Linked DNA regions of Drosophila melanogaster. The protein of the gene in region 2 purifies or fractionates together with the protein of the main gene of each other region. This does not show direct contact. Each region holds a gene or a part of one and is shown on either strand. Other genes may lie near its edges.

What was found. Proteins that work in one complex are often made in the same cells at the same time.
Region 1: the proteins of klhl10 (region 2) and ScsbetaG purify together in Drosophila melanogaster (affinity purification with western blotting, with the first as the bait; one study listed by BioGRID). This does not show direct contact.

Annotation. Positions count from the first base shown.
Region 1 is NT_037436.4:5,560,263-5,566,828, forward strand, and holds ScsbetaG (Succinyl-coenzyme A synthetase beta subunit, GDP-forming), read right to left. Parts: upstream 3,430-6,566; 5' UTR 3,282-3,429; coding exon 3,231-3,281; intron 3,134-3,230; coding exon 3,004-3,133; intron 2,923-3,003; coding exon 2,823-2,922; intron 2,610-2,822; coding exon 1,640-2,609; 3' UTR 1,439-1,639; downstream 1-1,438. Other genes in the region: sinu (sinuous), read right to left, coding at 490-1,233; Sras (severas), read left to right, coding at 3,599-4,004, 4,064-4,566; bc10, read left to right, coding at 5,363-5,602.
Region 2 is NW_007931083.1:50,274-57,563, forward strand, and holds the start of klhl10 (kelch like family member 10), read left to right. Parts: upstream 1-3,168; 5' UTR 3,169-3,269; intron 3,270-6,428; exon of another isoform or gene 6,429-6,554; intron 6,555-6,617; 5' UTR 6,618-6,671; coding exon 6,672-6,994; intron 6,995-7,046; coding exon 7,047-7,290.

The DNA of each region.
Region 1 (6,566 bases), on a different chromosome or scaffold from region 2:
CTACGAGTACAGTCGAACTTCTCTGAACTAAAATTAATTTCTTTAGGTATGTTAGAGAGAAGCGATGAATATATGGCGAAAATTATTTTTATCCAAAATAACTTTGGTTCGTTAAAATTTTTCGAAATCTCCGCCAGTTGGGGAGTTATTTAAACGATTTAAGGTAATATAAAACGAATGTTACCGACATGAATACTTTAACCTATGCACAGGGAAACCATTGAATAAAATATAAAACGAACATAAACCAACTTTAAAAACGTGCACTACCAGAAACTGTTAGTTAGAATATTTCGCCTTAGAGAAGTTCGACTGTAATGTTTAGGGTGAGAATTCTTTGAGGGGACGGAATGTTTTTGTTTTGTTTTCCTCTTGGTTGGCTTGTGTTTTCCTTGGTGCAAGTGTGCCAGCTGCCACGGCTAAAATAGACAATGCAAGAAGGTTAAGCGACCGACCCTGACTTGGATATAGTCAAGTACTTACCATCGACTATCCGCGCACCAGCTCAAATCGCGTCTGAGATTCCTTGAACTGAATTCTCTTCTTGTGCTGCACGTGGGCTTCACTGAGGAACAAAGTAGACGCCACCAGGGTTAACACAGTACCCACACACGCCAGGATAAAGGACCAGCCAAACCAATTGTTCGCATGCTCCGGCATCCAGCCATTCCGGTTGCCAAATCCAGCGAATACAATCACTGCAATGGCTGCACTTACTCCAGCACCGAGAAGCACATATCCCAACGATTTAATGAGCGTAATGAAGTGCTTTTGATCCGGACCAGCACACAGGATGAAGACCAGTACTCCGATGGCAGATACCAACATCCCGATGAAGGCCAAAGTGTAGAAGAACTGAGTGGCTATCATGAAGGCGGGCAGCAGGAATCCACGGATCTCATCGTAACCCGTGGTAAATGGGTCATACACCCAACGGCAGCCCACGAAGAATCTCCGCTGGCTATCGTCGTTCACGTCCGGCAGCGACCGGAAGCAGTGCACCCACAATCCCAGGCGATCCAGCTTGGCGCCCGTGATGCGGTAATCACTGACCAACCAACTGGGCGTTGCAAACGCAATCACGATGAAGGCAAAGGCGAACACGAAGACGCCAACGCCACAACTTCCGGATAGTGTGCGTCTCTTCATGTTCACTGTGTGACTGTTTTGCGTGTGGCTGGTGGGCAGGTGCTCCTGGGAATCCTCGCGTGCGAAGTGGGATGGTTTTTGCATCCTTTGAGTGGGAAATTCTATTGGAATTTCGCTGGTTTCCTGGGGAAATGTTTGTTTGGTTTGCTGTTTGGGTGTGGACTGCAGTGTGGCCGCACTGGTAATACCGCAGAATACCATGGGGCCACAAAATAAATACCAAATGCTACGGTACCAATAAATTTCAAAACAGTAAATTAAACAATTTAGATTATACATTTTTTAAATTAAGAAATAAATGATTTTAAATTTAATTAATTTTTGATAGATGGCTAAGGTACTTCTTAAATCAAATAAAAAGCTTTTTATATAGAATATAACATATTTTGGTTATATTGTCGATAAAAACTTATACTTAAAAGGCCCAACCGTTGTAAATGCTAATGAGCGTCGTTTCATTCTGGAAGACATGCTCTCCTCAATCGTTCCCCTAATTAAGGGCTGCCACAGCCTTGTGGGCGGCATCATCCAAGTCACTGGCTGTCTGAATGGGCAGGCCCGAATTCTTCAGGATCTCGCGAGCCTGATTTACATTGGTGCCCTCCAGTCGCACAACCAGTGGAACATTCAGTTGCAGCTTTTTGGATGCAGCCACAATGCCATTGGCAATGGTGGCACAATTGACAATGCCGCCAAAGACATTGACCAGGATTCCCTTGACTTTCGGGTCAGCAGTGAGGATCTCGAAGGCTTTGGCCACCTGATCCTCCCTGACGCCACCGCCGACGTCCAAAAAGTTGGCGGGCTCGCCTCCATTCAGCTTGATGATGTCCATGGTGGCCATGGCCAGGCCGGCACCATTAACCAAGCAGCCAATGTTGCCATCCATGGCGACGTAGTTCAGATTGTACTTGGCCGCCTCCACTTCTCGGGGATCGGATTCCTCCTCGGTGACGTCCATGGAGAAAATATCCTTCTGACGGAACTGGGCATTGTCGTCAAAGTTGAGCTTAGCATCAACGGAGATAACTTCTCCCTTATCCGTCTCCGCCAGCGGGTTGATCTCGATCTGTACGGCATCCACAGCTTTGAAGAGAGTATAGAGTTTTTGAATTTCCTCAGCACAACGCTTTACAGAGTCTCCCTTGAACTCCAAGAACTTGGCCACCTCCAAGAGCGTCGACTCCGGTATGGGCTTGCCAATGTCTAGCGGAACAGTCTTAATTTTCTCAGGGGTTTCCTCGGCCACCGCCTCGATATCCATGCCACCGGCAGGTGAGGCAATCAGCACGGGTCCATTGTGCTCGCGGTCCAGCAAGATGCAGAGATAGGTCTCGCGGGTGATGTTGATACTGCGTGCCACCATGACCTTGTTGACCAAAATTCCCGATTTGGGCGTTTGTTTCGTTATCAGTCGGTTTCCAATCATCTGCTGGGTAAGCGAAAGCACCTCGCTCTTGCTGGCAAAATGTTAAATAATTATTAGTATAAGCTGGTCTTATCACTTGTGTTTTTAAGGTACACTCTGGCTTTCACAAACTTTTATCATTTTCAATATGGGCAGAATGATAAGATTAATCTTATATACAAATGATATTGTAGAACATAAATAATATTAATTTTTTAGATAAAATGTGAATGTGAATAGCCGGAATAGACCTAATCTATAATACTTGGTGGTGATATGGACGCCGCCTTTGAATCCGTTGTCGAAAGTTCCCTTGCCACGCCCACCGGCGAGAATCTGCGCCTTCACCACGTATTCCGGGCACTCTGAAACACAGAAGCACAGCATTTAACACCAATTAGCCCAGGGATTACATAAACACCGGCATGGTTCCGTCCTCCACTTACCAAAAGTCTTGACGACCTCGGCATCTGCCTTGGAGTTATTCAAGACCTTGAATTGCTGTATGGCCACTCCATACTTCTGGAGGAGATCCTTGCTCTGGAACTCCAGCAGATTCAGGTTGCGCACGGGAACCTATCATCGAAAGATAAACAAAGCCAAGACAAAGGTCACTTCAACTTCTCTTTTCGAAGAGTTGATATATTATAGAGGAATGTGAGTGCGAGGAAACCTTATGAACGATGTGACGGGCTGTGGTAACTGCTTTCAGTAGGAACGACATCTTGGCTGATCTGCGGTGGTAACTGAATACCTTGGCTAACTTGGTATTAATTTATTTTCGTAACTTTGTCGGTAAATTTAGTTTAAAAACACAACCGAAAATCGCCGCCGTTCCACGATGCTTATCACTGCACAATGTGACCAAGAAGCACGACTACTTTCCATGGTGATAAAAATATACCAAATGCCACTGCCATCTTGAACTAGTTCTCGCGAAGCAATGGTCTTACTGTTGCAGTCAGCTGAAAATCAGCTGTCGTTGTGTACTTTTTTTCTTCGGCTAATAGTCAGCGAAGAATGACGAATAACACAAATTGAATGAAAAACCTGAGTGAGACGGAAGCCGAAGTCACCATGCAAGAAAATGTAGTCCACGAATCATTGCCCCAGATCCCGGTGGCCACTTCGGTGAGCTGTTGCTTCGTTCTGGCTGTTCTGTACGTGGGTAGCCTCTACATCTGGAGCACCAAACACAACCGGGATCATCCAACCACGGTCAAGAGAAGATTCGCCAGTGTGTCCATGGTGATGCTGGCAGCCCCGTTCTTCGTTTACTTCTTCTCATCGCCGGAGCTGCTCAGCCGGGTACCATTTCCCAAGCTGCTCGGTTTGCGCTTGGAGGGATTGTGGCAGGCTGTTGTTATACCATACAGCCTGACGGTGCTGCTCTTCCTGGGACCCATCTTTGTCAACATGCAGAACGAGTCCGTGCGCTCCTACTTCGGTAATAGTTAAAGCCCCTCTGCCTATCAGCCCCTTCTCACTGCTTGATTTGAATTGCAGATCTGGACTACTGGAGGGGATCATTTGGCAGCATCATCTGGGTGCGCAACCATGTGATAGCACCGCTGAGCGAGGAGTTCGTGTTCCGAGCCTGCATGATGCCCCTGATCCTGCAGAGCTTTTCGCCCCTGGTCGCCGTTTTCATAACGCCGCTTTTCTTCGGAGTAGCCCACTTGCATCACATAGCCGAACGCCTGAGCTTAGGCGTGGAGTTGAGCACTGCCCTATTGATTGGACTGTTCCAGTTCATCTACACCACGCTATTTGGCTTCTATTCGGCCTTTCTATTTGCCCGTACAGGTCATGTGATGGCTCCCATCTTGGTGCACGCGTTTTGCAATCATATGGGTCTGCCGGATCTGCAGGATCTGTGGCAGCAGGATCTCTGGCGACGAGTAGTGGCCATTATTCTCTACTTAGCTGGATTTGTTGGATGGATGTTCCTGGTACCACTGGCTACCGATCCGTCGATCTATGATAACACCCTTTACTGGAATGCATAATTAAGTTAATTTGTATGTATCAACCGCTGCCATACGTCGGTTCATTCATGTGTACATAAATATTCGTGCATATATTATGTTTATATGTAAATTGCATATCCCATTCGAGCCAATTCCGCGCACAAAAAAAAGACTTCCGATGAAAAAGAAAAAAGAAAGTACAGATAAATGTATACCTAATAGTAAGTCAGTTGTACTGTTTTGTTGTTCGAGAGTACTTTTATTACAACTACTTTTGTTTGCATTTGTTTATTAAACAATTTCTTAACATTTATAAATATTATTTATTATTATTATTAAGAAAGAAATATGAATTCAAATTTAGGCGGTATTATTGGTTCCGCGCAATCACTAGTTCCAACATATCGGTATTGGGCAGCTGGTCACACTGCCACTCAGACCCACATAGGCTTATCGATAGGGCCCGATAGGCCCAGACAAGTAAATTTTGGTAAATATGTGATGATTTAAAACGACGCACAACAAGCGAGCATCTAAACGACCCGAAAATCGAGAGGTCAGCGCCAGGAGGCCCAATCGGAGGTAATCCCGCAGAGCGGCGACCCGTGCTAGAACTGGGAAAACAGATCCGCGTTCTGGTGACGTTTGTGGTCTTTGCCCAGGACTACGAATGATAGTAATTATAGAACAATTAAGACTAACCTCAACCCCCCGGGGTCATCCTGGGACACTTGCAGGCCGCGCGGAAGACCACGTCAACGCACACGCAAATAGAACCCAAATCTTAAGCAGAAATAGCAACAACAACACAACCACCCACCCAACCGCACACAGAATGTATTGCCTACAATGCCTGCTGCCCGTACTACTGATACCGAAACCCTCGAATCCGGCCCTGATGGAAACGCACGTGATGTTCATAGTCCTCTACCTGGTCGGATTCTTCCTGGAGCGAAAGCCCTGCACCATCTGCAGCCTCGTATTCCTCACAGCCGTATCCCTGATATGCTACAGTGGCGTCGGGAACTGCATATTTTGGGGCAACTGCGAGGGCCATCAATGTGAGAATGGCTAGAGGGTCAGCAGTGCGCCGCTTATCTTTCACTCCCACACAAAGAAAGCCCCCGTAGTCATAGTCAACGAAGATAAAGTGCTAATAATAACTACCTTTTTACGGAATTACGTTCGCGTTGTTACAGCTTTACATCCTCGAAGATCGGAGAAAGTCAGAGGAGCAGGCGGATATAAGGGATTAGGGATAGCTTGACTAAGTCGGTAAAATCAAGTGATCAGTGATACAAGTGATGAGTGAGTCCGACCAGGAACAAAGATTGTGTGTCTAGTAATACCCATTGCATTATTTCCAGCCCTCTATATGTTACCTTCATAATTCTCTTGATTATGAATTGTAATTGTATTGTATGTTTTGTTTTTAAAGCTTAGACGAATTTAGTTTATACGAAGAAAGCGCTACGAAAACGTATTGTACATCACCCCACCCAAAAGCCCTACCCTTCAAATCAAAAGAAAAAACCCCTATCCAACCCACTTGTCAATGCAACTTACGATTAGTCATATATGTTATATATAGATAAATACATTATACAAAACGTAATTGTAAAGAAAACTAAGGCAAACCACACATTCACTGCGCATCCTTGCTGAGTTGCTAAGTTGCTGAGCCAACGAAAGCTGCTGACATCGGTTGTAATTACCCTGTCGTGTGCACGTGCAAAAACTGTATATACAAACAAGCATATAACTTACACCGATCGAAATATATAAACATTATATACATAAAATGTAAACGAGAGACAAGCACAAATATGTAAAAACGAGGAACGGGCGGGCGATTATAACTTATACAAATAATATTGTTCGATTTTTGCGAATTTGTATGATTTGAGCGGTATCCAAAAAAACGGAAAGTGTGGTAGATGTAATGAAATAAAATTTAAATAATGATAAACATCTGCAATAGCTTGTTTAAATATTTTTATAAGTGCGGGAACTGTTACTTCGAAACCTGACTTTTTAAT
Region 2 (7,290 bases):
GCTGATTCGATGTGTGCGATGAAAACAAAGAAAAGATGCACACAAAAAAAAGATGCACAAAATGGGTGCACGGCGATCTGCTCCTTGCTTGCGGCGATGAAGGGTAGAAAAAGAACGCCAACTCGTGGGGGGGGGGGATTGTGGCCTGCGATCTGCACTTGGTTGGCAGCAGAAAAGGACAAGCCCAGCTTTCCGCTGCACGCGGTGGGTGCTCCTGATCCAAGCAGTTGTGAATCTTTCTGCGATCGATGAAGCCACAGTAAATTTCACACGTGGTCAAAAGTTGAGGGCGAAAAACAATGCAAGTCGCTTTGGCGACGCGGCCACTAAGACTTCTACCTCCAAATGTGGGACCGGCAGCAGGCTAGTTAAAGTTAGATCACGATTTAAACTATCACTTGGCAGTATTTGCCTTGAAAAACTCTTATCCGGTCTACACGATTCTCGTGGATTTATAATCAGGGACTTTGCATCAAATTAAACTGCCCTCGATCACGACTTTCCGAAAAGAGAACGGAAGTATGCAAATCAAGTGTGACCGTAGCTTGCTACAATCCTACACGGGAATTTTGTGGTATTTTATAGGGCAATATTCAATTTTGCCAGGATTTGAATTTGGCTATAATGGTTCGTTACTAAATGAGTGCGATAGCACATATAAGGTTGCCATTTTGGCTCGACTCCCACACTTTTATAATTCCCAAGTTCTCGACGTTCATAGGGACAGACGGACATGGCTATATCAACTCGGCTATTAATCCTGATCAAGAATATATATACTTTATACATACTGTCTGTTACATACTTACATGCTAGTACACCCTTTTACTCTACGAGAAACGGATATAATTATTGGATATAATTATTGTCAAAATCGATTCTTAGTATATTGTAAGTTTATTTAAATAAATACCAAAAATGCCCGATACTAATATCGTGAGTCGGCGGGAAAAAAAATTAACATTCCTTTTTCATATCAATATTTTTATATTTGTTTTTTTTTTGTGGAACCGAGTGGTGTTGCATAATGCTAAGTTTAGCCAAAAATTCGTTTGTATCTTACTAGTGCATAAAAATAGTCCGCTCCTACCGTTGAGGTATGCTTCTCGGAGTCTTTGTGTTATGGTAAATTTTTGTTACCACATTAGGCTTATGATTACATGGATACTAACCAAATAAGTAAATGTAATTAACCTTTTATGTTTAATGTTTATTTGACACCACAATTTTCTTCTTAACAAATTTATAAATCCGCGCTTAAAATATATATGTATATACATATATACAAATGTAACTAATTTTGGTAAAAGTATAAAAATGAAAATAACAGCATTACAAAGATTTATGTAAGATTGTTTATTATTATTGTTTATTATTAATTTAATTATTAGTTTAATTCTAAATGCGGTAATTATATAAAGTATTCTTAGTTTGTGACCGAACGACTGCTGCTGAGAACTCGACTGACTGCCACGCTGACTTCCACACCACTGCTGCCTTGCGATCGTTCCTTCGATGACTGATTGTCGATAACTTCGATTTCCGACAATCATGTTGCTGCTCAACAGCGCTGCCAACCGGGTTGTTGCCAGCCTTCAGCCTTACTCCATGTTACATTCGGCCCTCCTGATCATCATCATCCGACCCGGATGACAATAGGTCTGCATTTTCGGCTATGTACTTCCACAACTTCATGTTGTCACAGCTGGTGGATGTGACATTGGGTCCTTCGACGTTTGCTGCTTTTTTAACGTCATATCTGCCATTGTCTTTGACCCCTGTGACTTCGTATGGACCTAAATACCCGCTTGCCATCTTGCGGCCAGCTACAAATTGGGTCCTTTTAATTGCAACCAGATCACCTGCTTTGTATTTGTATTCAGCTCGGCGCTTTTTGTCGTAATTGCGCTTGTAGTCCTTCTGCGCCTGCTCGATGTTGCGTTTTACCAGCTGTCTCATCTCATAGCGGTCCTCGTTGAATTGACAGACCACTTCTTCTTGGAGCAGTTCCAGTAACCGATCCTCAACTCGGGTGTACATCTTGGTGCCAAACATGACCTCAAATGGTGACAGCTTCAGTGATGAATGCACGTGACAGTTGATCGCCTTTTGTACCTCAGGCACATATTTGTACCACTTCGACGGTTCGTCTGAAGACAGCTTTGATATTATTGCCAAAATTAAACGATTTACTCGTTCTATCTGGCCGTTGCCTCTGGCCACTCCAGTAGTTGTGCAGACGTGTTCCACGTTATGGCTGCTCATAAATTGTTCGAACGCACCACTCGTAAAGGCCGTTCCTTTGTCGCTAACAATTCGCTTAGGGAAACCAAAAATGTTTGACCAGTCGGTCAGCCTCTTGACCACTTCTTCCTGTCCGGTTGATTTGGTTGGGAATAACCAGACAAACTTTGAAAACGCATCGACTGTTGCCAGAATGTATTTATACTGTTTGGCCGATGAATCCATTGGCCCCAAATGATCGATGTGTAGTGTGTGCAACGGTGCGTCTCCTTTATCTATGCAATTTAGATATCCCTCCTGCTTTCCCAACTTTTTGCTGTGGATGATACATTTTATACAGTTAGAAATTAGCTTTTTTACCTTGTATTCCAAATGAGGAATAAAAAATTGCTGCTGTATGCTATGCATCGTCTTTTGCAACGACAAATGGCCAACTTCATGTGCGCTTTGAATCACCTCCCTCTCCATTAGTGCAGGGACAACCAGTAGTTCATTGCCATTGACCATACTATACAACAGGCCACCTTTTAGCTTGTAGGGTTGGAATAGACGATCTTTTAGAATTTCCGGGATTGCTCTAATTGAATCATCGTTCTGCTGCGACTTTTTAATACGTGCTGTCAACTCGGATGTTATCATCATGCATGCTTGGGGATGGCGGCTTAAAAAATCAACGTGTCTCATTCTTTCTCCTGCACGATGTTCGGGTTGAAAATTAAAATCCTGCATATAGAGAATCCATGGGCCAACTTCTCTTGGGACATCTGCTTTTTTTGTTGTCTGTTTAAATGCGACACAGTCCGTGACGAGCTTGAAAGGGACTCCCAATAAATAGTGTCTGAACTTTTTCAGAGCTAAGTATGCGGCTTTTACTTCAAGGTAGTAACTATGACGATTTGATTCGGCTTTTGTAGTTTTTCTGCTCCAAAAGCAGACTGGGTGAAAACTGCCTTCGAACTTCTGCAATAAAACGGCTCCTAACCCGTCCTTAGAGGCATCTGTATGAAGTTCGGTTTCTGCTTCTCGTGAGTAGATCCTCAATACTGGTTCGTTTACCAGAATCTCTTTCAGCTTATTCACCGACTGCTGCTCTACTGGTCCAATGTTGAAAATGGCATCTTTTTTTAATAGGTCCGTCAGTGGTCTCGCAATTTGGGCGTATCCAGGTATGAATTTTCTGAAGAATCCTGTGAGACCCAGAAATCCTTGAACGGCTTTTACATTCTGAGGTGTTCCAAAGGAATTCACTGCTGATGTTTTCTCTTTTCCAGGGCATATTTGTCCACCTTCGATAATATGTCCCAGGAAATGAATTCGCCTCTGCATAAAGTTGCACTTCTTCCATTTTATTTTTAGACCAAATTCTGCAGCTCTCTTAAGTACCATTTCCGTCTTTTCCATGCATTCTTCTGGGGTAGCGGCATATACAATTATGTCATCCATATATAGCTGCATTATATTGGAATTGATTAGTTCTTGAAAAATAAATTGAACGAACCGTATAAACGCTGCTGGGGAATTCTTAAAACCAAAGGGCGCTTTGTTAAACTCGAATAAGCCTTCTCGGGTAACAAATGCTGTGTACGGCTTGCTGGCTTCTTCTACGGCCACATGAAAAAATCCGTTCTGTAAGTCCATGGTTGTAAACCATTTGGCACTCTGCAGTTTTTCAAGCACCTCCTCCATTATGGGTACCGGAAAACAATCCATCAGAACCATGGTGTTCAATTTTCTATAGTCCACGCAAACGCGTAGGGTACCATCCTTTTTCTTGACAACGACTATGCGACTGGCAACATTTGATGTAGATTTACGGACGATTGACTGCTCGACCCATTCCTCTACCTGCTTCTTTACAGCTATAGCTTCTTCTTCAGATAGTCGGGTGTGTCCATGGCGAAAGGGTTTAATCACGCCATCAGGAATAATTTTGAGTTCGACTGGACATTGCTTTATCTGCTTGGGTGGTGTTTCGTATGTTCTCTCTATCATGCGTTCAACGTCTTCTCGGTATTGTGGTGCAACTGTAAAAGAAGATTCTTCACAAATATTAAACATTTGGGAATACTCAACCGCTTGTTTTTTATCTGCTTCCAGGTCAAGAAAAGTATAGCCTTCTGCACTACAGATAAGACGAAACTTGCTGATAAAATCGTGTCCCACTATTCCATCGCAACTGAATTTAGAATCGTGGACGACTAAAACGTTGTGGCTTGCTTCCACCTGGTCGGTCTTGATTAATGCTCTGAAGCATCCAATCGGCTGTGTTGAGGCATTTCCCAAACCTCGCAATACTGTTGCAGTGCGGTTTAAATCAACATCTTTCATCTTCTTGAATATAGCTTCTTTAATTATGGTCACATCTGATCCTGTGTCCACCAGACAGTTGATGATAATCCCATTTATGATTACTGGCTTTGTTCGTGCACTATCAACGTGAATGCGCATGCTGTTTACTTTTTCCGGACACTTGCTTGAGATATGGCCCTCTTGATTACAGCTGAAACATTTGGTAGGAAGTGTACAATCCTTTCGTTTGTGTTCCCTCGAACCACAGTTGAAGCAGTGATCTGCTTTTACACCTTGTGTAATTTGCTTTGGTTTTGGTTGAATATTCGGCTTGTCAACAATATTCAGACTCTCGTAGATTTCGAATTCTTGCTTTAATTCCTTAAGAGTTTTACAACGGAGCATAGCACCCTTATACTCCTTTTTAATGTCGAGGCCGTTTACGATATGAGTTATCAAAGCAACTGTTTCAACTTCACCTAAGGCTGCTATTTTCTTCATTTGTAACAAATAGTCGTGTAGAGTTTCCTCCCTCTTCTTCTTCCTGTCTTGCAACTTTTTGTGAATAACGGCGCTATTATAGCTGCCTGAAAATTCTTCAATTAGTAACTCTTTGAGTTCAGTGTATCCACTGACACATTCAGATTCTAAGAAAAGTTCTGCTGATCCAATCATCTTACTTCTGGCTTGAACATATTTTTGTTTCTCCGAAAGTTCATATGCCTCGGCATTTTTCTCAAAAATTTCAAACCATTTTTTAATAGGAATTGATTTGCCATCACAGTCACTTACAACTTTTTCAAATTTTTCTGCAGCGATAATTACTTGCCCCTCTTGTTTAGATTTTGCCAACATGCTCTGGGTTAGAGTATTCATCATTTGTTCAAATTTCTCTTCGACTTTAGCACTAGCGTCTTTATTCTGCTTCTTTGCCTCTGCTTCTCCTACAGGCGCCAACTTTTGATCTTCTTCGTTCATTTTTTCTTTTCTGCTTTCGTCCTCGCTTTCGTTCTCTAGAATTGCTTGTATTTGGTCGGTGTTAAGTTTTTTATTTGTAGGTGGTGTACGTGTGAACATTCCGCGACAAGGCACTAACACCAGCAAACAACGACAATGTTCTAACGGCGCGACGGTAGTCGATTTTGCAGACGGCGCCACCGGTTAAAAGACAAATTTTGATTTTCGTTAGAAACGAATTTCACCACCTTTGCAATTTAATTGTTTTAAATTCCACAACAGCAAAACGACTTGAGTCTGTATGAGTTCAATCGATTTTTTCAACTTTCAATGCAGTAGACGTAGCCATAACTTTACAACTTTAAAGACTAAATCCACGCACACGACAATTTCAACTTTATCAGTTCTCTCTAGCAGCTTTCCCGACTTTTACCGACTTGTGTTCAAACAAAATCTGTACAACTGATTTTTCCAACTTTAAATGCAATAGATATAGCCACAACTTTACAACTTTTAAAGACTATACCCACGCACACAACAATGTCTTTTTTCTTTAAACAACTGCACCTTCATATAACCGATTTAGGACTGGACGAGCCCCCATGTAAGATTGTTTATTATTATTGTTTATTATTAATTTAATTATTAGTTTAATTCTAAATGCGGTAATTATATAAAGTATTCTTAGTTTGTGACCGAACGACTGCTGCTGAGAACTCGACTGACTGCCACGCTGACTTCCACACCACTGCTGCCTTGCGATCGTTCCTTCGATGACTGATTGTCGATAACTTCGATTTCCGACAATCATGTTGCTGCTCAACAGCGCTGCCAACCGGGTTGTTGCCAGCCTTCAGCCTTACTCCATGTTACATTTATAAAACTGAAAGTCGTATTTAACCCTATTTATGATAATAATCATTTTTGTTTAGGCTTAGCAGTCATTTTGTTTTCCCCCATAAATTTATTGTTGCTATTCCTACATTGACTAATATTCCTGTTCCTGCAGTTAAATACGAAGGTACTTCTTTTCACAGTAAAAACAAAAATTATTAGAACGCGAGGTAACAACCATTTACAGATCCCACCTATTTTATTTACGTATGTGCCTAATTTCCACCCCATAGACACGGTTCAGCATCGAACACAGTAAAGGGGTTGGACTTCACCTCGTTCTTCTAATGAGTCGTAATCAAAACGAAAGCAACCTCCTTGATATCAATGAAGATCTGCCTTTTGCTCTTGCTCTGCCCCCCGTCTCAATGGATTCGTTGCAGCTGAACGCAGACGGCAATAGCCCCGAGGACAAGACGCTCGGTATTGGCCGTAAAACCATTTTGAATGCGCACACAAAATCTTTGGCTCCCATTGTGAGTGACGAGGCCCTGAACACGCTAAATGAGCTCCGCGAGCAAAATCTTCTCTGCGACGCCCAGATTTCTGTGGGGGAGGATGTGTTCAACGTACATCGTGCAATAATGTGTTCATGTAGCTCATACTTTCGGTGAGTTAATAACTTCACCCTGAATTGTGAAGATAACACGTATTCCCACCAGAGCTCAATTCACAGGGTTTAACGCTGACACTCCCGGATGTGTAGATGGGTCAGATGCAAAAAAAAACAATAATTTTATTCATATCCCCGGCGTGAGTTCATGTATAATGAACTGTGTAATACAGTACGCTTACCTGCGTCAAACAAACATCTCCGAGAGCAATGTTCATGAGTTACTTATCTGCGCTGACTACGTTGGCATGGTAGGTTTAGTTAAGAAATGTAAAGACTACCTCGGTCGCATA